Linked DNA regions of Oryctolagus cuniculus. The protein of the gene in region 1 binds, or shares a complex with, the protein of each later gene. Links are inferred from orthologs where the notes say so. Each region holds a gene or a part of one and is shown on either strand. Other genes may lie near its edges. The genes, in order: SNRNP200, TSSC4, CWC15, SRRM2, SNRPF, PRPF31 and RBMX2.

The links.
Region 2: the proteins of SNRNP200 (region 1) and TSSC4 are in contact, whole or in part, in a cryo-EM structure (PDB 7PX3), measured with the Homo sapiens proteins. The link is inferred for Oryctolagus cuniculus from reciprocal best matches to the Homo sapiens genes SNRNP200 and TSSC4. Residues at the interface, in NP_054733.2 of Homo sapiens: Arg1438, Arg1475, His1502, Lys1748, Gln1749, Val1752, Asp1753, Thr1756, Trp1757, Tyr1761, Arg1762, His1778, Leu1781, Ser1782, Asp1783, Leu1785, Ser1786, Glu1787, Val1789, Glu1790, Gln1791, Glu1807, Met1808, Asn1814, Met1817, Ile1818, Tyr1821, Tyr1822, Asp1928, Ser1931; in NP_001284587.1 of Homo sapiens: Val198, Ser199, Ser200, Phe201, Asn202, Gln203, Asp204, Pro205, Gly211, Arg212, Val213, Ile214, Phe215, Thr216, Lys217, Pro218, Arg220, Gly253, Pro254, Val255, Glu256, Leu257, Ala258, His259, Leu260, Ala261, Gly262, Gly303, Phe304, His305.
Region 3: SNRNP200 (region 1) and CWC15 share a complex: the UniProt entries of both Homo sapiens proteins name them as parts of the minor spliceosome. The link is inferred for Oryctolagus cuniculus from reciprocal best matches to the Homo sapiens genes SNRNP200 and CWC15.
Region 4: SNRNP200 (region 1) and SRRM2 share a complex: the UniProt entries of both Homo sapiens proteins name them as parts of the minor spliceosome. The link is inferred for Oryctolagus cuniculus from reciprocal best matches to the Homo sapiens genes SNRNP200 and SRRM2.
Region 5: SNRNP200 (region 1) and SNRPF share a complex: the UniProt entries of both Homo sapiens proteins name them as parts of the U4/U6-U5 tri-snRNP complex. The link is inferred for Oryctolagus cuniculus from reciprocal best matches to the Homo sapiens genes SNRNP200 and SNRPF.
Region 6: SNRNP200 (region 1) and PRPF31 share a complex: the UniProt entries of both Homo sapiens proteins name them as parts of the U4/U6-U5 tri-snRNP complex. The link is inferred for Oryctolagus cuniculus from reciprocal best matches to the Homo sapiens genes SNRNP200 and PRPF31.
Region 7: SNRNP200 (region 1) and RBMX2 share a complex: the UniProt entries of both Homo sapiens proteins name them as parts of the minor spliceosome. The link is inferred for Oryctolagus cuniculus from reciprocal best matches to the Homo sapiens genes SNRNP200 and RBMX2.

What each region holds. Positions count from the first base shown.
Region 1 is NC_091433.1:111,286,513-111,290,230, reverse strand, and holds part of SNRNP200 (U5 small nuclear ribonucleoprotein 200 kDa helicase), read right to left. Parts: coding exon 3,701-3,718; intron 3,612-3,700; coding exon 3,438-3,611; intron 3,137-3,437; coding exon 2,999-3,136; intron 2,759-2,998; coding exon 2,603-2,758; intron 2,076-2,602; coding exon 1,905-2,075; intron 793-1,904; coding exon 599-792; intron 382-598; coding exon 258-381; intron 1-257. UniProt on the Homo sapiens protein: Catalyzes the ATP-dependent unwinding of U4/U6 RNA duplices, an essential step in the assembly of a catalytically active spliceosome. Plays a role in pre-mRNA splicing as a core component of precatalytic, catalytic and postcatalytic spliceosomal complexes.
Region 2 is NC_091432.1:1,158,976-1,163,208, forward strand, and holds TSSC4 (U5 small nuclear ribonucleoprotein TSSC4), read right to left. Parts: upstream 2,584-4,233; 5' UTR 2,498-2,583; coding exon 2,452-2,497; exon of another isoform or gene 1,611-2,451; coding exon 1,531-1,610; exon of another isoform or gene 1,440-1,530; coding exon 609-1,439; 3' UTR 542-608; downstream 1-541. Other genes in the region: CD81 antigen, read right to left, coding at 3,731-3,793, 3,870-3,956. UniProt on the Homo sapiens protein: Protein associated with the U5 snRNP, during its maturation and its post-splicing recycling and which is required for spliceosomal tri-snRNP complex assembly in the nucleus.
Region 3 is NC_091432.1:86,193,506-86,195,903, reverse strand, and holds part of CWC15 (spliceosome-associated protein CWC15 homolog), read left to right. Parts: intron 1-388; coding exon 389-507; intron 508-2,398. UniProt on the Homo sapiens protein: Involved in pre-mRNA splicing as component of the spliceosome. Component of the PRP19-CDC5L complex that forms an integral part of the spliceosome and is required for activating pre-mRNA splicing.
Region 4 is NC_091450.1:32,566,593-32,571,023, forward strand, and holds the start of SRRM2 (serine/arginine repetitive matrix protein 2), read right to left. Parts: upstream 2,861-4,431; 5' UTR 2,643-2,860; intron 2,387-2,642; exon of another isoform or gene 1,979-2,386; intron 1-1,978. UniProt on the Homo sapiens protein: Required for pre-mRNA splicing as component of the spliceosome. As a component of the minor spliceosome, involved in the splicing of U12-type introns in pre-mRNAs.
Region 5 is NC_091442.1:98,723,812-98,727,976, reverse strand, and holds the start of SNRPF (small nuclear ribonucleoprotein F), read right to left. Parts: upstream 2,853-4,165; 5' UTR 2,716-2,852; coding exon 2,713-2,715; intron 733-2,712; coding exon 607-732; intron 1-606. UniProt on the Homo sapiens protein: Plays a role in pre-mRNA splicing as a core component of the spliceosomal U1, U2, U4 and U5 small nuclear ribonucleoproteins (snRNPs), the building blocks of the spliceosome.
Region 6 is NC_091449.1:4,564,717-4,569,126, forward strand, and holds the start of PRPF31 (U4/U6 small nuclear ribonucleoprotein Prp31), read right to left. Parts: upstream 2,980-4,410; 5' UTR 2,849-2,979; exon of another isoform or gene 2,617-2,848; intron 2,359-2,616; 5' UTR 2,351-2,358; coding exon 2,174-2,350; intron 2,097-2,173; coding exon 2,036-2,096; intron 595-2,035; coding exon 511-594; intron 55-510; coding exon 1-54. UniProt on the Homo sapiens protein: Involved in pre-mRNA splicing as component of the spliceosome. Required for the assembly of the U4/U5/U6 tri-snRNP complex, one of the building blocks of the spliceosome.
Region 7 is NC_091453.1:108,064,790-108,067,992, reverse strand, and holds the end of RBMX2 (RNA-binding motif protein, X-linked 2), read right to left. Parts: intron 2,938-3,203; coding exon 2,760-2,937; intron 2,241-2,759; coding exon 1,732-2,240; 3' UTR 677-1,731; downstream 1-676. UniProt on the Homo sapiens protein: Involved in pre-mRNA splicing as component of the activated spliceosome. As a component of the minor spliceosome, involved in the splicing of U12-type introns in pre-mRNAs.

The DNA.
Region 1 (3,718 bases):
GGGAAAGCAGCAGAAGATGGCCCAAGTGCTTGGGTCCCTGTATCCACATGGGCGACCAGGAAGAAGATCCTGGCTCCTGGCTTCAGACTGGTCCAGCTCTGGCCATTGTGGCCATCTAGGGAGTCAATCAGCAGATTGAATATCTCTCTCTGTCTCACACCACTCTCTGTAACTGCCTTTCAAATAAATAAATCATAAAAAAAAAAAAAAAAGTTTAAAAGAACAGTGTTGAAAAATACAATTGACCACGCACAGACCTGATTTTTCCCAGCATGCTCCATAATTTTCTCATAGACTATTTCATTCATGATCTGGAAACGCTTGATAGCTTTTTTCTCTGTGATACCCACATAGGTCTGTTCCAGAGGCACTGGGCGGAAGCTGAAAGTTCAACAGTGAGACAAATGAGGCTTTTGGCAGGGACTACTGAGAATAAACACTCCTTCTCACTGCCCAGAAGCAGTATCCTCTTTTCTGGATTCACCCCTCCAAAACCCAAAGACCGTTCTAAAACCCAACCCAATAGTGAGTGCTCCTTGGAAAAGGGAAGGATGGGAGGAAAGTCACCTTAGCCACAGTTCTCCCAATCTTCTTATACCTGTTGTCAAAGTAGAAGAGGCCCTTGGCAGGGTCAACACGTAGAAAAGTGGCTACGTCTTCATAGTTGGGTAGGGTGGCACTGAGACCAATGAGTCGGACATCCTCTTGAGTCATCTCAATGTTTCGGATGGCCCTGGCCACCAACGCCTCTAACACAGGGCCTCTGTCATCGTGAAGAAGATGGATCTCATCCTAAAGAATGGGAGGGCAGCAAATTACCTCCAGGACTAAGGAAATGTGGCCCCTCCCCTGAGACTTGCAGGCATCTAACCAAACACTCAGAATAAAGATAAGAAAGGGTGGGGGCAGAACTAAGCCAGAGAAACATAAATGAAACAGCATTCCCCATGAAATGCTTTGCTACAGTTAATAGCAAGAAAATCTGGTATTTCAGTGAATGAGTTCCTAACTTTACTTAAAGGTAAATTTCTGCATAAAAAATGAAGCTTCTGATCAGATCATATTTATATGAAATAAGGCTTCACCCCTGGTCAGGTATTTTGACCAAGAAAAAAAGATATCAAGATATCACCTGCTTCTCAAATTTTAGCAAGCCAAAGCAGACAGTGATCTTGTTCAAATGTAGATTTTTTTTCCAGAAGGTGCAGGGTGGGGCCAGGGCATTTCTAACAAGCCTCTCTCCCAACCCGCTGCTATCCCCCTGTCAATCAGGATTTGAGTGGCAAGGCTCTAAAGCAGGGGCTGCCAACATTTTCTTAAAGGCCAGAAAGTCAAATTCTAGACTTGATGGCCATGCAGTTCCTATTAGAAATACTCAACTCTGCCACTGCAGCAAAAATGCAGCTGTAAACAATACATAAGCCTAGAGACATGGGTACATTCCAATAAAACAACACCCAGCAGCCACAAATCGTTGACCTCTGTCCCAGCACACTGAAAACCAGCACGTGAAGTCACTTCTGACTGTGCCAGACACCTCAAAGAAACATCAATCAGACTGAGAGGCCCTCCTGTCTGGATGATTCTGGAACAATATCCTGGACTCTTTACTTGTTCCCTTGCAAAATGGATTACTTATTCAATGTTCTGGGAGGACAGGATTAGTTTGCGGTCAGTCTATTTGCACTTGTTTCAAAATATTTTAGACATAGGAGATATAGAGAATAAGGCAAACACTAAGCACCTACTGGGAAATTTTCCTATTATGGGCAGATTCTCATTTAACACCAACAGCAAAGCTTTATCGCCTACAGAAAGGCATTGAAGGAACATTCAACACTGAAACCCAGCAAACCTTCCCCGATCACGTCTGGTCTCTGCAGCCCCAAAGTGCCCCCACTCACCAGAATGATGAGCCGCACCAGCTGAGTGTAGGTGCGCTCCCCACCCTTGCGGGTGATGATGTCCCACTTCTCAGGGGTGCAGACGATGATCTGAGTGGCACTGATCTCTTCCTTGCACAGCTGATGGTCTCCAGTGAGTTCAGCAACAGTGATCCCATAAGTGGCCAGGCGCTAGGTGGAGGAGACCTATGTCAGGCAAGAGTGCACGAAGAGGCCTAGACACCACACCTGAGCGTGGAGTACTGGGAGCAGGTGACTATCAAGTCAATCACTCCTTTTCCAAAAGCAAACCCAAGTTTCACTCAGGCAAATGAAGCACACAATAGGGGGAAATGGAGCTCTGGGAGTTCTGCACACAAAAGGAGAAAATGGAAACTTGTGGCTAATGTGACCTAGAATAAAACCACTAGGTCTACTGTCAACTAAATCCATGTGCCAATTCATAAACACTTCAATGACGCAAATGACAACAACTACAGAAAATCATCATGGAGAACATGAACGAAAAATGGCAAATAAACCCTAGTAAAAGATGGTTTAGGACATTCTTGCTTCAGAAACCTCTCTGCCTTTGAAATGTAAAACACCACAGGAGGCATTCCAGGGATGCCCTAACACAAGAAGCAGTGATGTACAGGACTATTCACAATCCTGACAGCTGCACCCAGTACTCACCAGAGGAAGCTCTACCCCCTTACCTTTCCAAAACTGCCCACCATCTCCTGCACCAAGGACCGCATGGGAGCAATGTAGATAATCTTGAAGTCATCCACATTGATAGTGCCATCCATATTTATGTGTTTGCCTATCTCTCGGAGCATACACATCAGGGCCACGTTGGTCTTCCCAGCACCCTAAGAGAGCAGTCAGGGATGAGACGGCCTACTTACTGGTAACGATCACTCCTCCAACTTCCATGGGCTTATCTCCAAAACAGAGGACACCGCATGTCCTGGGCATTTTATCCCACCATTTAACATTTGTTCCACTCAAGAATAAAGAACTGGAGGACAGGGGTGAAGATGAAGAACACTCCTGCCACCAAAACGACGGAGCACCACCTTCACAAGAAAAGCAGGCAGGGCAGCGCTTACGGTAGGAGCACACAGCAGCAGATTCTCATCTGTTTCCAAGGCGGCACGGTACAGTTTACTCTGGATCCGATTCAGCGTTTTGAAGCCCTCAAATCCAGCCTGGGCATACTTCGGCAGCTTCTCCACGGGGAGCAGTTGCTAGAAAGAAAAAATACAATTCACAACAGGCTAGCAGCATCTTTGAGTAAGCAAACTGTTTCTGTGGCATTGCCAGGATTTCGTTCCTTGGCAACCTCCCTGCATAACTCTCTCCACTAAAGGCCAGTTTAGAGAGGTCAGTATCATTCCCTGGGCTCAAAACCAGGATGGGAAAACTGCAGCAGCATCTACTTTTGATGCAAAGTAACTGTGAGAGCAGGCTACCTTCTGGGCAATGGGTGAAATCCAAACAGGAAAAGAAATAAACTGAACAGAGAACTGAGAAAAGCAATTCACTCACTTCTTCAGAGCCAAATGGCTTGGGCTTCAGGGCAGGCACATGCACCTCTTCATAGCCCTTACGTTGGCGACGGAAGGACCCGTCAGGAAGCTGACAGCGTTTGTTGGCCATGAAGTGGCTCCCTTGGGTAAAAACCAAGTCCTCCAAGTCCAGAACCTGCCGTGGAGCCAGTGCCTTGAATGCGAAAAGCAGTATCAAGAAGTCAGAGAGCTGGCAAGTAAGTTTTCCAACTGTCACAGCCTGGGAAATGGCTCGCTACCTACCTCTCCACCCTGGTCCAG
Region 2 (4,233 bases), on another chromosome or scaffold:
AGTGGGGGACAGACATGCTCGCTCCGTGGGCCTCCCCCAGCAGACCTGGGGAACCCACCCTTTGTCCCCCATGGCCCATGCTGGGCTGGAGTCCTGGCACAAGACCCCAGATGCCGGCTCTGCACCCCGTCCTGACAGTCTGGGTGGGGCACAGCCAGAGGCGAGCGTGGGCACGGCTACAGGACCACTCAGGCCTGTCCGGCACCATGCTGGACTCCTGTGGCCTGACCCCAGCCCAGGGGGACCCCTCAGCCCCTCCAGGCCGGCACTGTGCGCAGCAGGTAAAGCCGCCTCCTGTATGTGTGGTTCCAGTCCCGGCTGCTCCACTCTGACCCAACTCCCTGCCGCTGCAGCTGGGAGAGCAGCAGACGGCCCCTGTGCCACTGCGGCTCTCTGGGGAGTGGACCAGTGCACGCAAGACCTCTCTATCTTTCAAAATTAAAAGCAAACAAAAACCCAGAGAAGCGGAACACTGGGGCCGTCACTCTGCAGGGTCCGAGCGGGGCTGGGGGCCCAGGGGGAGTGAGACGACAGACAGGACCCGAGGACACCCAACACCTTTATTGTCACCCATGGAGCCCCGGGCCCCCGGCCGCGGCCCGGCCCGCTCACCCCTCAGCCGCTGGGCCCTCGCAGCCGCTGCCCCTGTTCCGGAAGTGCTCCCGGCTCCGCTTCCTGGCGCCGTGGAAGCCGACGGCGTCCAGGCCGGGGGGCCCTGGCGAGGCCCCTCTGTGGGCAGCCGCGGGGGACGCGTCTTCCTCCTGCAGGCCGCCGGGGGTGCCGCCCCTCTCCTCGGCCTCTGGGCTCCCGGGCCCGGCCAGGTGGGGCAGCTCCACCGCCTCGGTCCCCGGGAGGCCCCTGCCCGGCTGCGCGCCCTGCCCCAGGCCCCTCTTCCTCTCGGGCCTGGGCTCGCGGGCTCGGGCCGGTCTGGTGAAGACCACCCTGCCCTCCCCGCAGCTGGAGGAGTCCTGGTTGAAGGCGGGCGCGCAGGCGGCGGGGGCGGCCGGGCCCCGCGCGCCCAGGAAGGCCAGCGCCGCCGCCCGGTTGCTCTGCTCGCTGGCCTCGGCCACGTCCTCGAGGCTGTACCTGGTCCAGCGCTCCGGGTGCGCCACGTAGTCGGGGACACGCGGGCCCCTGGGGGCGCCGGCCGCCCCCTCCAGGCCGTCAAAGACGCTGTGGCTGCGCCGGGAGAAGGCGGAGCTCGTGCCCCGGAGGCAGAACGGCTGGGCCGCAGGGGCGGGGGGCGCCGGGGGCGGCGAGGGGGGCTCGGAGTCCTCTGAGTCCGCGGGCAGGTCTACACACGGCGCGGCCGCCTCGGCACCGCCAGAGCTGAGGTCCGAGTCCGAGTCCGAGCCCGAGTCGCTGGGGAAGTCGGCGTCGTCGGGGGGCGCGGCGTCCCCCTCGGCCCCCGCCTGGGCCATGGCCCCGTCCCACGGCACCTGCGGGGAAGCAGCCCGCGGGGAGGGGGCAGCTCAGGGTCGCCGGCCCACGCGGCCGCAGCAGCGGGCCCCTCCCCGGCCCGGCTCTCACCTCCCCCGTCCGCCCACGGAGGTCCTCGGTGGCCCCGGCGTGGGCTCCTCGGTGGCCTCGGCTCCGCTGCTCAGACGGGGCTGGGTGAGGGGCGGGGGACAGAGCCCGCGTCAGAGCGCGGGGCCGGCCGCAAGCTGCCTGGGACGAGGCGGAGCCCAGGGCTGGGCCCCAGGGCCCGGGCCGCGGCCACCCCGGCGGGGTCGGGCTCGCGAGCGCGCTCAAGGGTCAGCTCGAGCGGCCTTGCTGGGCAGAGGCCGCCCCCGCGGCCCCGGACACGACCCCCACCCGCGCTCCCGAGGGGCTGGCTGCAGGACAGCCCGGGCGCACCCTCCACACGGCGCTCCCCGCCTCGGGCCGACCCAGGCGCGGCGCAGCACCTCCTCCCGCGGAGCAGCCGCAGGAGGAGCGCTGGGCCCAGCAGGGACCGCGGCGAGCGCGCCCTGGGCTGGGGAGGCCGGGATCCCGCGACCGGGCCGAGGGGCAGCGGCTCTAGCTGCCTCCGGCCGCCTCTGCCGCGGAGCAGAGCACACCTTCGCCGTGTCAGGGCGGCCGCGCAGAGGGCCCTCCCGGACTTACCGGCTCCTCGTGCCGGCCGCCTTCATTCGGGTTCCCCGCCGGCCGCGCTCAGCCTTTTGGGAAACCGAGTCCCCCGCTAGCCGCGCACTGTGGCCTCCGCGACCGAAGAACTACATCTCCCATAAGCCACCGGGCCTCAGCTCCCGAGCCCTGACGGGACGTGTGCCCCAGTGCGCATGCGCCCACGCCCTTCTCCTTACACCTCCAAGCCCTGCGCCAGGAGCGGGTTCCGGAAACGGAAAAGGCCTAGCGTTGACACGGAGGAAGGGGCGGAGCCAACCGCCACTCCCAGAATGCTCGACTAACGGCGAGGCGCAGGCCTCTCGGAGTTTTAGTGCCACCTACCGGGAGGTGCGGAGACAGCAGCCGACGTAGACAGGAAGTGCGTCATCGCGCACGGTGGAGCAGAAGCCCTTGCCCGCACTTCCGGCCTTCCGAAAGCGGAAGTCGCTGCCCCTTCCCGGGTCCATCCGTCAATGCCCGGGGCGGGCCTGGCAGCCACTGAGCTTGTGGGCTGCGCTGGACGTCGGGAGCCTCTGACGATGTTTCTCCGGTTCCCCGGCCCTCAGGGACAGGCGCGCGGAGCGCTGCCCAGCGGCCCAGGCAGCCGGGGCTGGGCGTGGCCATCCTGGGCAGGTCCGGCCCCGGGCTCTCCCAGACAGGCCTCTCGCTGGCCACCAGGCCCCAAGTGGGCAGCGCCTTTTGCCCCCGTTTCTGCTGGGGCTGCTCGGTGCCCGCCAGACCCCAGCTCCTGAGTCCCTCTCCTGCGGGGGCCTGCTGTCCTGGCACTCACGGGGAGACCGGCGTCTAAGGACCCCGGGGGGGCCAGCCGCGGACAGCAGGCGGGTCATGCACGGCCCAGGCACCTCTGGGACACCCACCCTGTCCTGGCAGCCCCGGGGCCCCAGGCCCTGCACGTCCAGAGGCCAGCCTGGGCCAGCACGGCCCGGGGGGAGTGGAGGGGACTCCTCGCTGCACCTAGTTCTCCCAGGCAACCCTGTCCCCCAGGGGCTGGGAGCAGCAGGAGCCCCCGCCCTCCGCAGGGCCAGCCTCAGTCCTCCCTGGCTGCTGTCCAGGCCGAGGCGGGGCCTTTGCTCTGGCTGCTCCGAGATGCTGCTGAGGCCCGGGGGGCCACCCACGTCTCAGCAGACCTGGGGCCTGCTGCCCGCAGGGAGCCCGGAGCCCGGCCGCCCCCTCCCGCAGCCCGGTGTGCCCCAGGGGCGGTCACCCGCGGAACGCTCCCTGGGTCCTGGTCCCGTCCGCTCCGCGCGGGCTCGGCACAGTCCAGACCCCTCTGTCCCCAGCGCCCCACCCACTGAGACCCCACCGGCCAGGACCGGCGGCCAGCGCGTTAGCATGCCCGATGTCTCCTCCTTTATTACAGACTGTGTCCAGCTGCGGGCGTTACAGTTGAAGGTGACGTTAGAAAGGACAGGTGCTCCCGGAACAGGCAGGAAAGCAACAGGATTAAGAAGGCCCGGCCCCCCTCGGCAGGTGCCCCTGGCACGCGGCGTCAGCCACAGGGGCTCCGGGGGAGACGCAGAGCCCGGAGAGCCGGCAGCTGCGTGCGGAGCGAGCGGGGTGGCTCTGTACAGGCGGCGGGGGCGGCGGGGGCAGCGCGGCCTCAGTACACGGAGCTGTTCCTGATGCCGCAGCACAGCACCATGCTCAGAATCATCTCGAAGATCTGGCGGGAGGGGGGCGGTCAGCGGGGGCCGGCGGGGCGGGGCGGCCCCCCCCCCCCCGCCCGCCTGCCCGCTCACCATGATCACGGCCACCACGATGGCCGCGATGCCGATGAGGTACAGCTTCCCCGAGAACAGCTCGTCAATCTTCTGGTGGCAGTCCTCCTGCGGGGAGGGCAACCTCAGCTCCCACCTGCCCTGGCGGCACCCCGGAGGGCCCAGCTAGGCGGCCTCTGCCCACGCGGGGGAGGCGACCTCAGCTCCCACCCGAGGGCCCAGCTAGGCGGCCTCTGCCCACGCAGGGGAGGGCCCAGCTAGGTGGCCTCTGCCCACGCGGGGGAGGGCGACCTCAGCTCCCACCTGCCCTGGTGGCGCCCCCGAGGGCCCAGCTAGGGGGCCTCTGCCCACGCGGGGGAGGGCGACCTCAGCTCCCACCTGCCCT
Region 3 (2,398 bases), on another chromosome or scaffold:
GTGCTTCTCCTGGTCTCCCATGCAGGTGCAGGGCCCAAGCACTTGGGCCATCCTCCACTGCACTCCCTGGCCACAGCAGAGAGCTGGCCTGGAAGAAGGGCAGCCAGGACAGAATCTGGCGCCCCAATCGGGACTAGAACCCAGTGTGCTGGCGCCGTTAGGCGGAGGATTAGCCTGTTGAGCCGTGGCGCTGGCCACGAATTATTTTTTATAAATGAGACTTTTCTCTTATTTCTTAAAAAAAAAAAAAAAAAAAAAAAAAAAGCAAAAACCTGTTTTGGTGATGTTCTGAAAAAATACAAACGGGTTTTGTTTTGTTTTCAATCAGATAATATAAGAAAATTGATCTAGAGTTAATATAATTTGAATCTTACTCTGTCCTTAACAGGAACAAGAACAAAAAGCTGAAGAAGAGAGGATCCGAATGGAAAACATTCTGAGTGGAAATCCTCTGCTTAATCTCACTGGCCCATCCCAGCCTCAGGCCAACTTCAAAGTTAAAAGAAGGTACTATTCAGTAATGGATTGGATGGGTATACTGATTTTGAGTTGGATAACAAATTACATTGTATAAAGCTTCTAAAAACCCCATCTTCCACTGATGCTCTTCTGTCAGATTTTGGAGCCGTGGAAAGAGGAGAATGAATAACCAGCTGTGTACCAAACAATGATCCAGGCACTAGGGGTAGAGTAATGAGGTAAACCCTTGACTCCACAGAGCTTACATTTTACATTTTTGTGTCAAGGGTCTCCCAAAGACACTCAGAGGACTTGACCTGTAGTTGTATTTGTGGCTAATACAGTAAAGATACACAACAGAATCATAAGGGGAAAAGACACAGGCAGAAATGGGAGGAATCTGCTTGTTTCCTGAGACTCTGTCCCTCCCGTGAGAAGTCATACAGAGCACGTTGTTCCCTCAACAACAGAAATGCAGCAGCACATCAGTGCTTTTGCACAGGGAAGCCTAGCTGAGATTCAGTCTCTAAGATTTTTGTTGGAGTTTGTCATGTGGGGCAACTTCTGCCTTGCACCTAATAAAAAAATCCAGACTCCACAAAGGAAAGTAAATGGTCAGTATAAACTACATTATTTATACATTGTAGGTACAGTGATGGTGAGAAGATTCCTAAAACCTGGGTTTCCAAATGCCAGCCCTTTCTAAGGAGAGCAGTTCTCAGCCTGCTATCATAACTCTTTAGTGTACAGTGTGTTTGGAGGGCTGAGGTAGAGAGTTAAAGGAGAAGAGACTATAAACAAAAAGTACTATCTATGGTATTTTAGATGATATGCAGAAAAATAAAGTTTTATAGGAAGTGCTGAGTGAAGGAAGCTTAGTGATCAAGGCTCTTGGAGGCTTAACTTTTTTTTTTTTTTTTTTTTTTTTTTTGACAGGCAGAGTGGACAGTGAGAGAGAGAGACAAAGAGAAAGGTCTTCCTTTTGCCATTGGTTCACCCTCCAATGGCCGCCGCAGCCGGCGCACTGCGGCCAGCGCATCATGCTGATCCGATGGCAGGAGCCAGGTGCTTTTCCTGGTCTCCCAGGTGGGTGCAGGGCCCAAACACTTGGGCCATCCTCCGCTGCACTCCCGGGCCATAGCAGAGAGCTGGCCTGGAAGAGGGGCAACCGGGACAGAATCCGGCACCCCGACCGGGACTAGAACCCGGTGTGCCAGCGTGGCAGGTGGAGGATTAGCCTAGTGAGCCACGGCGCCGGCCTGGAGGCTTAACTTTTAAACTATATCCATTATTTCTCACCATCTCCATTGCTGCGTCTTCCATAGTGATGCAGTGCCCCTAATTGTTCTCCTGCACACTCGCCACCCTCTTCACTCCCAGATTTTTCTTGACACAGAAGCGTGATCCTTTTAAACTGAAGTTTACAGCAACAGTCTCCTCTACTAAACCTCCCATGGCTTCTTGACTCATTTGCAGTAAAAACTTGAGTCCTTACAGTGGTCTCTAAAGCTGTAAAAATCTCCCTCCATGCAGAGGCAGCAGCATAGTCAAGGAAGGATTTGCTGACAAGGTGACATTTTTATCAGAGACTGGAGTCTGAGCTATTTGACCCAAACAATTGTGAAAGGATAGAGATAGTGAAGAATGTAGACTAAGGTTGGGGTTAGGGGAGGTGGCAAACTTAGGACACAGTAAGTTTGGCAGGATACGTGCATCTCTGAGGAAATGTTAAGGAGGTAACTTAATATGATTCCAGTCCAAGCTGGGGTAATAAATTTCAGAGTTGTCTGCTTATAGGAGTTCTGACACTGCGTAAGATCACCTCAAGAAGGCCGGCGCCGCGGCTCAGTAGGCTAATCCTCCACCTTCTAGTCCCGGTCGGGGCACCGGATTCTGTCCCGGTTGCCCCTTTTCCAGGCCAGCTCTCTGCTGTGGCCAG
Region 4 (4,431 bases), on another chromosome or scaffold:
TCTACTGTCTCCATAATTTCTCTAGATTCCTTGTTCTGAACTTAAAAAATCTTCTCGCTCCATATCTCACTTTTATTAAAGCCCAACTGCTGGCTTTCCCTATCCAATCTCCTGTACTGAACTTCTGTTTTCTCTCGCAAGCCCTTCTCATGTGCTAACAACCCCACACCTCTCACCACATTCCATTCTCTCAACTTATCTAAACCCCAGCACGACTGAAGAACCCACAAGTCCCAGTTTTTCCAGTTAACAGTTCTTGGCTATACATACTCTGATTCTTTCTCCTGCAATACAAGGGTACTTCCAAATGTTCACAAAAAATAAAATTAAAACTTAGGGACATATTTTTGACACCTGCATCCCGTATGGGAATGCCTAGTTCCAGTCTCAGCAATTCCTGTTTCCAGTTCCAGCTCCCTGCTAATGCGCACCCTGGAGCCAGCAGGTGATGGCTCAAGCACTTGGGTCCCTGAAACCCATCCGGGAGGCTTGGATTTAGTTTCATGCCCATGGCTTTGGCCTGGCCCTGCCCCAGCTGTTGCTGTCCTTTGGGGAACAAACCAGCAAATGCAACATCTGTCTGTCAGGAAGCTCTGTCTCTCAAGTAGTTTTTTGAAAACTTTTGCGCAAAACAATTGAAATCCATGCAAGTTTTTCATCATCTATGTTTTCCATGAACTTCTGCAGACCTCTCAAACACAAAGCTTCCCCAACCCATTCTCTCCAAGATAGTGGGAAAACTAACCTCAGGAAAAACCCTAGAAAAAGGCAACATGGAGAAGTTAATCAACGCGGAGGGAAATGAGAGGCACTGCATGGAAGGCTGCATTTAGAAAACTCTGAAATAAAGAAGCAGAACACAAATGCCTACAGAAACCCAAGACGCTGTATGGGAAGGAAGCCCAGCAGCCTGCACACCGCGCAGCCACAGACCAGGTCCCTTCCCAAAGGCAGCAGTCCTACGAACCGAAAGCAAAAAAAGATGACAAAACCAGAGTCAACGGATGACACGAGGCTCAATCTATGAAAGGCAAGGAGACACGCAGAACAGAACAGTGATCTACTTCTCTGCAGCCCAAGAAAGCAACCCTCGCGTTCACCTTCCAGCACCAATTCGCCCCACTCTAAAAGCCCCTCTTTGCACCTGCACAGCCCACTGAATTTTTGCTTCCCTTGCAGAATGCTTCTGACCTGCAACTAATTCCTCAGCCTCAGAAAAGCACCCACACTTCTCTGCCACCTCACACAAAAACCCTCCCACTCCCTAAGGAGGGAAAACCAGTAGCTGCTAAGCCAAAGATACTGTCACATTGTTCGAAAGATGTAGAGAATCAACAATAAAAAAAGAAAAAGAAAGAAAGAAAGAAAACCTCCACGGCATCCAAAGCAGAGCTATAGACACTTCAGTGAGGAGGAACCATGTCAACGCAAACCACTAAAACCGATAAAATAATTATTCTTAAAATGAGGTCCACAGAGGGCTTACAAAGTTACTTTGCCAAGGAAGACTAAGAGAACTACCTGTGCTGGACAGTGATCAGAACGCCAAAACAATGAGATCAGAGAGTATCGCACAATATTCAGACATTCAGTTAAAAAATGGACCGAACTGCGGGAGGCGGCAGAGAAGCAGAAGCAGAAGCAGCTCCACGCCGGCGCACTGCAGTGCCTGGGGACACGCGAGGGAACCCAGAAAGCTCGGCAGCCGACGGAGCCCATCGTCCGAAGAGCGAAGCCGACAGAACCGACAGCTGGGATGTGCGAGCCGCAATCACAGCGAGAGCAGGCGGACACGGAGGCCGCCCAGAGTCGTGTGCCACGGGGGGGCCTGAAACGCGCAGCCGCAACTCCAAACAGTCCGGCATTTTCCTCCCAACCACGGGCTCCAAAAGCAGCCTCCGTAGTTTTAACGCAACTTCTGGGGAAATGTGGAAAAGCCACAAGGGAAAAAAACAAACCAACCCACCACGTTGTCTACCTTACTCACGTAGACTCAATTTTTTTCCTTCTCCCTTTCCTTTCCACGCTCTGCGGCTTTTTTCTCCCCTACCGACCGCAGGGCTGATACTAGCGAGTCCAAACGCTCTAAATCCGGGCCACCGAGGTCAAGGCCCTCCCCGCGCCGCCGGGGCCAGGAAGGCCTATTTTCGGCCCGGAGGGATGGGGGAGGGGGCTGCGCGGCGCCCCGCAGTCTGGAAGGCTCCACACCGGTCCACCGGGCCCCGGGCGCGACCGGAACGAGCCACAGGGGACACGGTCCGAGAGCGGGCTCCCGTCGCCGCCGCCGAAAGGGGCAGCCGCAGCCAAGAGGCCGGCTCGGCCGCCCATGTGGGGGGAGCCGAGGAGCCGAGCGGCGCGCGCTCCCCGGTCGCCGAGGACGCGCGCGAACCCGAGCGCGGGCGGCGGCGCGCGCCGTTGCTATGGGGGAGGGGCGGGGAGAGGCGCGCCGGAGCCCGCGCGCGACGGGCACCGCGCGAGGGGGAGGGGAGCCCAGCGAGCCAGGGCGTCCGCGCGAGCTGAGGGCGGCGAGCGCGCGCGCGCGTGCGCGTGCGGCGGCCGGGGCCGTTCTCCGCGCGCCGCGGCCTCGCGCCGCGGCCGCCGCCCCTCCCCCACCCGGCTCGCGCGCTCCCTCGCCCTCTCACCCGCCGCCGCCGCCGCCTCCGCCCGCCGCCTCCGAGGGGGAGAGGTCTTGCCGCTGCCCGAGCGCCCGAGTCCCTCGGGGCCTGGAGCCGCCGCCTCGCCGCGCCTCGCCGGTCCGCCCGCCTCACCCGACGCCGACGCCTCCTCGCTTCCTCAGGGGCCGCAGCGGGCTCCGACTGCGCCACTCGCACCCCGCCTGGGCCGCGCTGCACGTCAGCACGACCGACCAAGTGCGTCAGCACGCCGCCGCGCCGCAGGGCCCGCTGGGAACCGTAGTACGCTCTGCGACCTTGTGCGCAGGCGCCGGGCTCGCTTCGGGAAGTAGAGTTTCTAGAGGCGTAAGAGAGAGTCAGTTTCATTGCCGGGAGACTACGAGTCCCGTCGGCCAACGCGAGTAAGGGGTGGGAGCAGGACCGAAATGACAGTCTCCGAGGCTCACCGCCCGGGCGGGGGCGGGGCACAAGGCCTGGCGACGTCTTAGCGCCTCTCGGCCTCCCGCCTTCGGCCAGAGCTTTCTGGAAGTTGTAGTTCAGGCATGCGGCGGGACCCGTATGTAGCTTCGTCCAGGGGCGCGGTCGCCATTTTGTTTCCTCAGGTTGGGAGCCGAGCGCGGGAGCCTTGTGAGGGTTGCTGCCTCCAGGTGACCGTAGCCTCCCGGGCGAGCCCGCGGCCCCACAGCACGTAGCCTTTCGTGCTCAGACCCCAGATATCGGGTACGCCTGGCGCCCCCGAGCCCGACACAAGGTCCAGGCCGGGAAGCAAAGGCCGAACACCCACCGCGTTGGGTTCTGGCGGCCCTCACCCGCCGTGAGCAGCTGCGGCGTTTGAGGTGCCCTGAGGAAGAGTTTTCTGGAACCAGAGGGCACCAGCCAGGAAGGCGGTTGTTTGATACAGAACCCAGATGTATCATACCTCGTGGAAACGCCCTTAATCATTCACTGTGCCATTGCCGGGTCCTTTTTACAGGTCCATCTTTGCGGCCGTCGTGGCGTGGCGGGTAACCCGTGCCGGCGGCTCCACTTTCCATCAGCCCCTGCCGGTGGGCCTGGGAAAGCAGCCGCGGCGGGTGCGCCCCTGCACCCACGCTGGAGACCCAGATGAGGCTCCTGGCTCCGGCCTGGGCCGCGGGCAGTGACCCAGCAGACGGAAAGCTGGCGTTCTCTCTAACTGCCTTTCAAGTAAAAAAAAAAAAAAAAAAAAAAAAGTCCATTTTTCTGAGCCCGAGAATCGGCAAGCCCCCTCAGAGCAGAGCTGTAAGGCTGGGCTTTTCGGGCTCGGGTTTACCTCTGGCCGGGCCAAGGGACAGTGACCTTGGACTGGTCATCTCCGGAAGCCCAGCCGCTAATGGCATGAAGCGCCATTACGCATCTGCCGCCCCTCTGTGTGTGAGGAATTTTCTTGAAAAAAAGATTTGAGTTCCAGAGGAAGAGTCGGAGGTCTTCCATCCCCTAATCCCCAAGTGACCGCAATGGCCAGGCCAAAGCACGGAGCCAGGAACTCCCTCTGGGTCTCCAACGTGAGCGGCCGGGGCTGAGTGCTTGGGCCACTTTCTGTTGCTTTTCCAGGCACATCAGCAGGGAGCTGGATGGGACGCAGAGCAGTGCGACTGGAACTGGTTCTCTGGGATGATGGCAGTGCGGCCAGCAGCTCAACGCCTGCGCCACATGCCAGCTCGGAATTTTGAATTTTTAACTTAGCCCGCAAGGGAAATCAGCGCTAGGACCACACAGGGAGAGTCCGGGCTTGCTGATGTGAGCCCTAGCGCCGCACGCCAGCGCCCTGGAGCACCAC
Region 5 (4,165 bases), on another chromosome or scaffold:
AAAAGTTCTGAAATTGGGTACTAGTGGTAGCTGCAAAACAATGTTCTCACATACTATTACTGAGTGACATCTTTAAAAATGGTTAAAGTGGCCAAATTTTTATGTATATTTTATCACAATAAAAAAATTCACACCAAATCCCCCCCCTCACTGGCAAAATCATTTACAACTAGTTTAACCAACATAGTTCATCAATTCTTTCAGCTAATCTGTCTTCCCTCTGAAGAAATGCTTCTAGTTGATTACATTAATGTTGTGCCTTTAGCATTCATTAAGAGACAAGAATTTCACTTGAAAAATATCAGATTTAAGCGCTGGAAAAAGGTTTGCTTTTGAAAGCAACTCATGTATTTCCCTTATTATATGAATAATCAAATGCCTGAGTCCTCCTCACTTTACCCACCACGAGTAAGGTCTGTGAATCCTGGCCTAACCCCGTGTCTTGTACCTAGTCTATCAGTTGTAACATCCTCCCTGGCCTTGACTTCATTCCTGAATTTTGTTCTATCTTTGCCAACTGTATGAATTATTAGTCACACGAAACCTTGGAGGAATAAAGTGGAACAGAAGAAACACAGTGTCACCACCCTTTCACCTCTAGCTTACCTGCATGTTCATATAGCCGTCTACAGACACCAGGTAGCCCTTGTACTCCATTCCCCACTTGAGTTTCACCATCACGGGCTTCCCTGTTAATCCATTGAGGAAAGGTTTGGGATTGAGGGGTAAACTCTGCACAAAACAAACAAACAAAAAATCCATTGATTTTTTTTTTTCCTTAACTTGGCTTCCACTCCTCACTCTCCTCTACCAATCCACCAATCAATATTTTGTAACATCCAAATGAAGCAAACTCTTCACTCCCTATCACTCTACTACCTAATTTCCACTTTTGTTTGTTGAAGAGCATCTGGGAAATTTTTTTTTTTTTTTTGACAGGCAGAGTGGACAGTGAGAGAGAGACAGAGAGAGAAAGGTCTTCCTTTGCCGTTGGTTCACCCTCCAATGGCCGCCGCTGCAGCCGGCGCACCGATCTGATGGCAGGAGCCAGGATCCAGGTGCTTTTCCTGGTCTCCCATGGGGTGCAGGGCCCAAGCACTTGGGCCATCCTCCACTGCACTCCCGGGCCACAGCAGAGAGCTGGCCTGGAAGAGGGGCAACCGGGACAGAATCCGGCGCCCCAACCGGGACTAGAACCCGGTGTGCCAGCGCCGCAAGGTGGAGGATTAGCCTAGTGAGCCACGGCGCCGGCTAGCATCTGGGAAATTTAACCAGTTATCCCATTTCGTCTTCAACCCATCACAAAAAAATAAGTGTTCACGCTGCACTTAGGAGACAAGCGGCACCTGCAGTCCTCAGTGTCGCAAGCTCTAAGGAAACAAAGATGAAAGCCCTACAACAAACGTGTAACGAGGCTCTGTCCTTAAGAAGCCAGGGTGGGGGTGTGGCGCTGCAGACATACAGACAATTATATTGCAAAGCAGTAAGAGCGATGCTATGCAGAAAGGCCCAACCAACTCAGGAAAAAAGACAGGAACGGGCTGCCTGGTAGGAGCAATGCCTCCGTTTTAAAGGGTGAAGTCTATTCCAGAGGGAAAGGGGACCGCTGGAGGCCAGGGAGGCTTCCCATCTGGAATGACCGTGTGTATGTGTGCGCTTGCGCGCGTCATCCCGAGAACAAGCAGTACGGTCAGCATCCCACTCGGGGCAGGACCAAGCTCGGCAGGGCTCGGTCCTCACCCGACCGGTGCATCGCCGGCGAACCGAGTCTCTCCGCGCTCACCTCCTCACCCCGAGGAAGAACCCAGACACCGCTACTAAATCGCGGGAAAAGTAGGAGGGCTCCACCCGCAATAACCGCCTAACGGCCCCCAGCTCCCCACTTCTCGGGCGCAGCGAGCACACAGCCGCTACGACGTGTGCCAGAGCGCATCCCATCGGGCCTGATGAGAAAGCTCCGACGGCTGCCGAGGGCGCCGGGGTAGACCCTCCACACGCTGCCCAGGTCCTGGCGCTCTCGCAAGCGGTGGCCGCTTTCGGCCAACACCCACCACGAGTGTAGCTGTCCCTCCCTCATCGTTCCGGAGCCCCATTTCCTGTCACCCGGGCTCGGGTGAAAGCCCCCCTCCGGGGGCAGCCGCGGAAGGCGCCCCAGCGCCCCGGGGCCGCAGCCTCCCGCCCGCTCCCGTCTAGGCCGGTGCCCATTTCGGTGAACAGCGCCTGACGGACGTCTGTCTCTCACACCCCGCCCAGCTCGGCCGGTGCAGGGTCCGCATGGGCACTTCTCAGTCTCTAGTCCTGGAGCCCAAGACTCAACCTGGCCAAGTCGCCGGCGCTCAATAAGCGTCAGAACGAATACACGAACGCTCCGGGGCCTGGGCCAAGGCGGGCTGGAGAAACATCACCGACGGAATAAAAGCGGCTTCATGAGTGCGACGAAGTGGGAAACGCAAACCGCTTCAGCGTTTGCTACATCCACCCCGACTACCTCTTTCTTCCCTGGACTCAGAAAGAAGAGGCAGCAGGAGGCGAGGGTCGTCCCAGCCAGGAAGGGACTCGCGCGCGTCCGCGGAACCCGCAGACTGGCGCCCCGGTGCGCTGCGCCTCGCGGATGAATGGGAAAGGCGCGAAGCCGCCACCAGGCTCAGCCAGCCCGAAGTTGCCTTCCCGCCCTCTCCGTCTCGCGACTCCAGCAGTCCTCCCTCTCCTTACCATCACGACTTCGGGCTAACGTTGCGGATTAGACGCCGCCGACGCAGATACAGCCCGTCCCGCGTGCTCGGAGCAGCTTCCCCCAAGGCCCAGACCTCCGAAGTTGCAAGAGAAATGGCCGCCAAACCTCAGCTTGACCTTTCACCTCCCACCACCGCTCTTTCGCCTTCTATGATTGGTCAAAAAGAGGCGTGTGCTGATTGGAGGAGATGGCGCAGCCGTGTCTCCCAGCAACCAGAGACGCGTTCGGCGTTACTAGTCTTCTCCCCTGCCTTGAAGAACCGGCTGTGAGAGGCCGCGTACCCTGTGGCGCACACGTGATTTCTCGGCAGCTTGGCTAATGGGGGGTCGCTTTGTTAGTTTACAACGGTGAGAACGCGTTCGGGGCTCTCAGGTCCCCGGGTACCGCGATTTGGGGGCGCCTCTGCCACAGCCCCCTTCGACCTGAAGGTTGTCTATTCGGTAGCACCCGTTTCAGCGTTCTAAGAGGAAATGAGAGGAGCGGGCCTGGAGGCGGGGAGGTGAAACGGAGGGGCCGCGGCAGAATTCTTTGCAGACTAGGAGCCAGGACCTCCCCCGGGGCGTTGCCCGCGGGCCCCCGGCCCCGCCGGCCTGGGGAGCACCTGCGGCAGCACGGGCTGATCGGTGCCCGCGACGCAGCCGCCAGCCCCTCTCCGCGCGACCGACGCTGGACTAGCCCGGATGGGAGGTGCTGAATGCAGATCTCGGAGAACTGGCGCTTGGAGGAGGACCGCCTGCTGCTGGACACCCCCCAGAAGATGCGTTTGGACTTGAGCTTTCAGGAGATGCTCGCTGTGACTTACGTGTTGTCGGTTTAAATGATGAGCAGCAAGTCAGGGTGATCATCAGTGTGGTGTAGACCGAATAGCTGTTAGAATTATTTACCCCAAAGTGCACTGGGTTTTTTCTGGTTAGTCATCGTGTCGTGGATCTTCAGCTTTTAAGAAAAAAAATTCTTAATTTTCTTTATGAGAGAGCGAGAGCGAGACAGAGAGCGTACACGCTCTTGGACCTACTGGCTCAACTCCCCAAACACCCGCAACAAGCCAGGCTGAAGCCGGGGGCTGGGAACTCCCAAGTGAGTGGAAGGGACCCAAACTACTTGAGCCATCACCTGCTGCCTCCCAGGGTGCATTAGCAGGAAGCTGGGTCAGAAACCCAGCGGGGACTCCAAGCCAGACACTCCCATCTGGGATGTGGGCGTCTTAGGCGCTATGCCAGATGTTACACCCCTGCATCTTTAACTTTGCTATAATCTTTAGTTCCTAACTTTATGTCCGGCTCTTTCCCAATTATTATAGAAATCACACAGTGTGATCTGAAGTTACAGCTGAGATGAGAAAAACAGACTTGGCAGAGAACTTGCCCAGAGGCACGTAGCTGGATTTTAACCCCAAAACTGCTTTCTCTACTTCATAAAGCCACCTTTCAG
Region 6 (4,410 bases), on another chromosome or scaffold:
CCAGCTCGGGGAACCTCTTCGAGTACTTATCCCGGATGAACTTGTGGATGATGTCTGCGGGGGGCGGCAGCGCAGGCGGCTGAGGAGGGCGGAGGCAGAGTCCCCTGGTTCTCCCCAGGCCCCGCCTCCCCCTTCCTCTGCACTGCCCTCAGATGCCGGCGTCTCGGCAGAGCCTGTCCCGGCTGCCGGCTGAGCGAGGACGGCAGCTCATGCCCCTCCTTGCCTCCTGGCCTTGCTGGTGGGACGTGAAGGCGCTGGCCGGAAGTGGGGCGGTCGCCTTGTCCCACGAGCCAGCGGCAGATCCACATGACAGCAAGAGCCCGGGCACCACGGCGTGGCTCCCTGAGAGGAAAAGCTCCTCTCCCTACGTGAGCCACGCCGCTTCAGCGCTGTCCCCCCGCCCCCCGCCGTGCCCGCTCTCATGCACGGGGCCCGGGCAGGGTGTGGGAGAGGCCAGCAGGGCAGGGTGGCCCGGGGTCCCAGGCAGGGCCAGCTCGGCCTGGCACTCACTCAGCTCGTTCTCGATCTCCACGGTCAGGTTGTTGGCGTCCACGATGACACGGTACTCAGGGGCCGCCTCCACCGGTCCCATCACTGAGGAGGAGGAGCCGGGGTGCGGGGCTCAGTCCGAAGGCACCTTCCCCAGGGGCCCACGGCTGGGGAGGCGGGGACCGGGGGAGGGGCTGACGAGGGTACGGCCTGAAGCTGAGCCCAGACGCTGGCTGGCGGGGGCTGAGGGGGGTTGGTGAGGGGTCTCCCCACACCCCGGCGGTGCTGGTGCTGCCTGTCAGACACCAGGCTGTGAGACGCGGTGCATCCACATCCCCCCCTGCTGGGCATGGCCGGGCCTGACCTGGGGAAGTGTCCCTCCCTATGGCTTGGGAGAAGTGCCCGGCTGGCCCCCAAGCCCCGGGCTCCTTCTCTGCTCAGCGCAGGTACTCAGGCTCCGGAGTCTGGTTCAGGACCCCCGAGGCAGGACCGAACAGTCCCACCCTGAGCCCCTCCGACAACTGCCTGGGACCCGCCTGTCTCCTGCACCAGACCCTGAGCATCTCAAGAGCAGGGACCCGGGAAACACTAGGTGAAGGGGGAACCAGTTTCTCGGAGCCTCTGCTCTCGGCCCACTCCCCTCCCCCATGCCCAGCAACCTCCCCCCGCCCCGCTTCCTGGTGCCAGTGACCGCCACCAAGAGCCCTGGGTGACAAAGAGCAAGGGGCAGAAACAGGACAGCCCTCCCAGGAGCTGACCTGCACATTCAACATCTGACCCGGTGGGCCCCGATGTCAGAAGCGGGAAAAGGCTTTAGATAATAATTTAACAGTAAGTTATTTACTTTTATTGCTAACTCGTATCTACCAAAGCGTACAGTAGTAATGCTTCCTTCTTAGATAAAGGTAAAGGACAGGCTGGCGTTGTGGCAGTGGGTTAAAGCGCCACCTCCAACACCAGCATCCCATACGAACACAGGTTCGAGTCCCGGCTGCTCCACTTCTGACCCAGCTCCTTGCTAATGCGCCCGGGAAATCAGTGGAAGCTGGCCCCTGCCATGCCTGTGGGAGACCCAAACGGAGTCCCTGGCTCCCAGCCCTGGCCGCTGTAGTCATCTCCGGAGTGAGGCACCATGTAGAACATCTCTCTCTCTCTCTCTCTAATTCTGCTTTTCTAGTAATAATAATAATAAAAAAAAAACCCACAAGGATAAAAAATAGAAAGCATAGAAACAGAAAGTCAAGATTTCTAAGAAACTTAAAGGGACAAGTCCCCTGATGTCAGGTCCTACGGCTGGCGTCTCACGGCCGTGGCAAAGGCCGTGTGCGCGCCCCACGCGAGCTTGGACGCCCTGAGGTGTGCCCAGCGGCAAGCAGCAGGCGCTCAGCACAGGGCGAGGAGGTCAGAAACACCAGCCCTGGGATGCAGGGGGGCTTTCAGGAAGAAAGGGGGGCTAGGCCGGGCTGAAGGCAGAGCCAGCTGTCGGCGGGTCGGCGGGACGCAGGGGCCAGGGCCGCGCCGGGCGGGGAGGGGTGGGGGGCAGCACCTTCCGCCGCCTTCGCCTGCTTGCTGATGTACTCCTCGATCTTCATCATGATCTCCGCGAACTGCGGGAAGCCGGGGACAGTCAGAACCAGAGCCCCAACCCCCGCTCCCGGGGGCGCCCGCATCTCCCTCCTCTCACCATCTTGCTGTCCCATAGCTTGGCGATGCTCTTGACCGAGTCCCCCGAGAGATCCAGCTGCGCCTCCTCCTGCACATCCTCGATGGCCGGCTCCTCCTCCTCCTCCCCGTAGCTTCCTCCCTCTTCCTCTTCTGCCGCCTCTTCGAGGTCGGCCAGGAGCTCGTCCGCCAGAGACATCCCGCGACCTGCGGGGGAGGCGTTTCCCCTCGGACTGTGTCCCCCCTGGGCCCCCGCTCCTGGGAGGGGCCACGCCCCCAGCGCCCAGCCCAGCCCCGGCCCAGCCCCTTCTTCACCGAGCCCACCGCCGCAGGCTGCCCAGGACAGGCACTCCCGCCTGCTTCGCTGGCCGGGCTAGCCCCAGCCGGGACCCATGAAAGCCCCCCACCCAACTCCGGGCGAGCCTGACAACCCTGTCCTCGCCTCCAGGTCTCCGCGAGCCCTACCTTCCCACCGCCGGGACCCCCGCAGCCCACCCCCACGGGAGTAGGCCCGGACGCCTCACATGCAGGGGACCCCGTAAGGGACCACCTGGTTAAGCCTGCCTCCCCGCCGTCAACCCAAGCTCTAACGTCCGAGCTGTCCCCAGGGCCGGACCCCGGGCGGGGAGCGCCGTAGGACCTCCGCCTCTCCCCTCTCCCACTCCGCCCCCCGCCCCGTCCTGCGCACCCCACTCACCACGACCGTTTGCAGCAAGTGAGCAGCTTCCCCGAGCGGCCGGCGCGCACTGATGACGTCCCACGCCCGCGTCGCCGGCGCTGCGCTCTGATTGGCCCTCGGCCGCGCGTTCGGAACAACAACTTTATTAGCACCCGCGCGGAGGAGGAGACGGGGTGAGTCCCGGAGAGGAGAGCTGGAGCCTGCTGAGCGGAGGATCGCCGTGGCTGCACGACAGTGTCGACAGGAGAATACAGGCGGTGGCACGCAGACGAGAAACCCGGGACTCGGGAGGGTGGAGGTGGGGATGGCGGGGCGCGGGAGGTGAGGGCACGAGGCCGAAAACAGGAGCCCGCACCCCCCAGCCCCACTCCCAGAGGGCCCGGGTGGCAGCCCCGGCGCGCCGCGAAGCCTGGGCCCGAGGCTGGAGACCCGGCCGCGAGTCGGACGGCCCGGGGCGCCCGGAGCGGGACAGCGATGGAGCTGGAGCAGAGAGAGGGGTGAGCGGCGGGTCTGCACCGCGCGCGGGCGGCTGCGGGAGGCGGGGGCTGGGGCCCGGGCGCGCGGCGTCCCTGAGCGTCCGCGACCGCCCGCGACCCTGCAGGACCATGGCGGCCGTGGGCTTTGAGGAGTTCTCGGCGCCGCCGGGCTCGGAGTTGGCGCTGCCTCCGCTCTTCGGCGGCCACATTCTGGAGAGCGAGCTCGAGACGGAAGTGGAGTTCGTGTCCGGCGGCCTGGGCGGCTCGGGGCTCCGGGAGCGGGAGGAGGAAGAGGAGGCCGCCCGGGGCCGGCGGCGGCGCCAGCGGGAGCTGAACCGCAGGAAGTACCAGGCGCTGGGGCGGCGTTGCCGGGAGATAGAGCAGGTGGGTGGGTGCGTCCCCTGCGTGGGCGTGTCGACCTAGCTTCGCCCACGCACTCTGCCCCGGGAGCTCCCTGACACCCCCAGGTGGAAGCGCGGGCCCCCGCCTCCCCTACCCGAGCCCGGGCCTCGCCCCCCACCCCCAGCCCTGCTGCAGCTTCCCTGGCCCGGAGGAGGATGGAGCGGGAGCCAGGCTCGGCGCCGCGGGACAAGGTCTCTGGGTTCCTCCCCGTCTTGCCCGTCAGGGGGCGCCGCGGGAGCGGTCCTGTTCTGTGGCCTCTTAGCAGGGGCTCCGGGGGCCTCCCCCGGTTCCTGGCCCTCTCCTGCTCTGGGAAGCCGCGCCTGGATCTCGGCCTCTGGACTTTCCGGTGTTCACGAAGCACACAGCGCTGGAGTAGGCCTTACACAGGGGCCTCCTTTGAACTTGGTCTGCTCTGTAGGGGCCCGGTGCTGGGGTTGGGCCTCCAACACGCCTTTTCAAGGGGAGGGGGAAGGAACACAGTTCAGCCCTTCAAGTGGTGTTGGGGTTCGGGGAGAGGCGGGAGGTATCTGCTTAGCAAATGGGTGCTGGGCCCAGGGGGACTCTGTGAGCCTCTGCCCTTAGCCCACCCTCCCTAGGGATGAATCCTCATTGTCCCCGTTTGGAAATGCAAAAACGTGAGGCTGAGGCTAAGCAACCAAGCTCACACAGCTGATAAATGGCAGAGCCAGGATTTGAACCCAG
Region 7 (3,203 bases), on another chromosome or scaffold:
GAAAAATGAATCTTGATGTGAATGGAAGGGGAGAGGGAGCGGGAGATGGGAGGGTTGCAGGTTGGAGGGAAGTATAGGGGGAAAAAAGCCACTCTAATCCATAAGCTGTACTTTGGAAATTTATATTTGCTAAATAAAGGTTTAAAAATTTTTTTAACTAAAAAAAAAAAAAAAGACTGCAGCAGGGCCTGTGAACCAGTTCCTGCCAAATTCATAAGGGGCTGAGTGCTATAATAGAAACTAAGATTCAAAATGAGAAGGAACTACCAATCAGACCAAAGGTGTGCGATGGAGCTACCAGTGTTCCCACCTGAGCAAGAGCGGCTACGTGAAAAGCAAACCAAGCACAGAAGGTCGCCTGGCGTGTCTGCACACAAAACAGGAAGCTGACTAACCAAAGGTAGAAACAATCCTAACGTCCGTCCCAAGGAATGGAGAAACAAAGCGTGGTCTCTCAACAGGATATTATTGAGCCTTAAAACAGAGTGCAGTACTGATACATGCTATAACATGGATGAACCTAGAAAACATTATGCTTAGTGAAGGAAGCCAGACACAAAACGCCACTGCTGTGTGATTCCTGCTCTGTGGAGCATCCCAAACAGGCAAATCCATAGACACAGAAAGCAGATGGGTGGCTTCCAGGGACAGGGAGGATAGGGGTAATGGCACGTTATTGCTTAATAGGTATTAGGTTTTATTTGGGGACAATGTGAATGCTTCAAAACTAGACACAGGTGGTGTTTGCACAACATGGTGAATATAAGTGCCACTGAATTGCTTTGAATTGGTTAACTTTATGTTATCTGCATTTCACATCAATACAAAGAATTCCAAGGGAAAAAAGTATGTGGAAAAATATCTCAACCAAAAAAAGAAAAAGACAAGACATTTAAAGCTGTTTTCAAACAGGGTTTAGAGAGGGAGCTGGTTGTTCTTAAGAATCCCATCAGGCACTGGCGTTGTAGTGCAGTGGTAAGCTGGCTCCTGTGATGCTGGCATCTCAGATGAGCAACAGTTTTGAGCTGCAGCTGCTTCACTTCCGATCCAGTTCTCTGCTAAATGCGCCCAGCAAAGCAGTGAAAGATAGCCTGAGTACTTGGGTCCCCAAACCCATGTGGGAGACCTGGATGGAGTCCCTGGCTCCTGGCTTCAGCCTGGCCCAGCCCTGGCTGTTGTGGCCATTTGGGGAGTAAACCAGCAGATGGAAGATCTCTGTGTCTCTCCCTCCCTTCCTCTGTAACACTGCCTTTCAAATAAATAAAATTAATACTTAAAAAAAAAAGAATCCCATCACATTCACCTCCAGCTGTCTGAACCTAGTTAAACCACACTTCACTGCAGTTCTACCTGCTAACTGGAAGTCTTAGAATGCTGGGTTCTCAACATTGAAGACAAAGACTAGGCCTCTAGAATTGTCTGTAATTTTCCTTTTCTGGCAATTTCATCTCAAGCTGGGGGGGCTATGGGCCCCATGGCCAATTTATGAACGAAAATTCAGGACACGTTCTCTGTTAAGTTCCAAGTATATTTCCAGGGATGATGGATTGTACTAGAAAATGCAGGGTATCTGCCAATGAAACCACAGCCTTCTCAAGGACTCCACTACTCAAGGGATTTTTTAAAAATCAGCTCTAGAGATTTCATATGGAGAAGTAATGGCGTAGCTGAATCTGACTGCATTTTAGAAACACATTTCATTTCCAGATCTACCGAGCGGCTGAACTGGCTTCAGTGACGCCTACGCTCACTGAGATTTGAGGACTCCCGCTCCCGGGAGCTACGGGACTTCTTCTGTCTGTGAGATCGATCTCGGCTCCGACTTCTACTCCGATGGCTCCACCCATCCGAATGCCCATTGTGCCAGCTAGAACACGCGTCTGAGCTTCGTCCTTTGTCCCTATCCCTGTTCCTTTCTTCTCTGGCCTCTCTCCTGTCGGAGGACCTGTGCTCATGCTTGGATTTCTCCTTCTTCAGCTCCCTGGCCAGGTCCTCAACTCCACCGCGGGGGACAGTTCTGACCTCAGGGGAGACAGGGTAGTGCTTCCGTGCTTCCCTGGACTCCGACTTCGGCACCTTCTCGGAGCCCTTGGTGCTGCTTGTCTTAGGGCCAGGCTCATCCTTTTCCTTTATTGTCTTGCTTCTGGGCAAGGAAGAGGGAGATGGTTGCTCGACCAGTACTGTCCGGTCACTCTTCTCTTTCTCTTTCTCTTTCCGTCTTTTCTTTTTTTCCATTTTGTCTGGAGAAGAAGGGCGACAATCGGTAACAAAAGGGAAATAGAACTCCCTAAAGCCATGTCTTTCCTCTCCGTGTACGTGACATCCAGCAAAGGTAGACCAGTTTACCAATGCCTGCCTGCCGGGAGGGGAGCCCATGGGCAAGGAAAATAGGCTGGGCAGCAGCGTGAAGCCGTCACCCTGTGCTTCTGGGAAAGTGCTGCGGGGAAGCAACTTCGATGTCTGTCACCCGCAACGTCAAGTTGCTGGGCACGGCCATTCCCACTCCAGTCTCTCTCTGAAAACCACATGTCCAGATGCAGTCACAGTGGACTAGGGGTGAGGAGTTCAACGTGTCGATTCTGGGGAACACAATTCAACCCAGAACAGGAGTCTTCTGCTGACACCTCCCCTTCCCCAATTAAAATAAGGTCCCCCCACCTCTCCTTCGCATACTTATGACCCGATTATCAACCATCAATGAACTCTAGGAGGAACAGATGCTAAGACTGCCAAGTTTCTCTTGGGTTTGAATGTTTTACCTTTTTTGTGCTTTTTTATGGGTTTCTCTTCTTCAGAATCCTCAGATGAACTCGGTGAGGGGGTATTAACACCACAGCCCATCGCCTGGAGCTCTCTGGTCACATCGTCCATGTCTTCTGAGACTTTAGGAACCCGATAATTAGCCACATGATCTACCCGGATAGTTCTTCCTTTGATCTAAGAAAAACAGGCAGCGTCTCAAAAAGGCAGGCTTCATTTCAAACTGTCCAGCTGTTTGAACGCCATCTATTACCCTCTCTCTAATTCTATTACGGCGCAAACCGCCACAGCAGACCCACTCAACCAGTCTGAATCACTGCAGGTGTGCCTAGATGGTAACCCATTCAGCCTTTAGGGCAGCGGCAGCCAGCTGGGCCCGGGACAGTTGTACTAGCGTTCTCATCGGCGTACCCCAGGGCGAGATACAAATACTTTCATGTGAA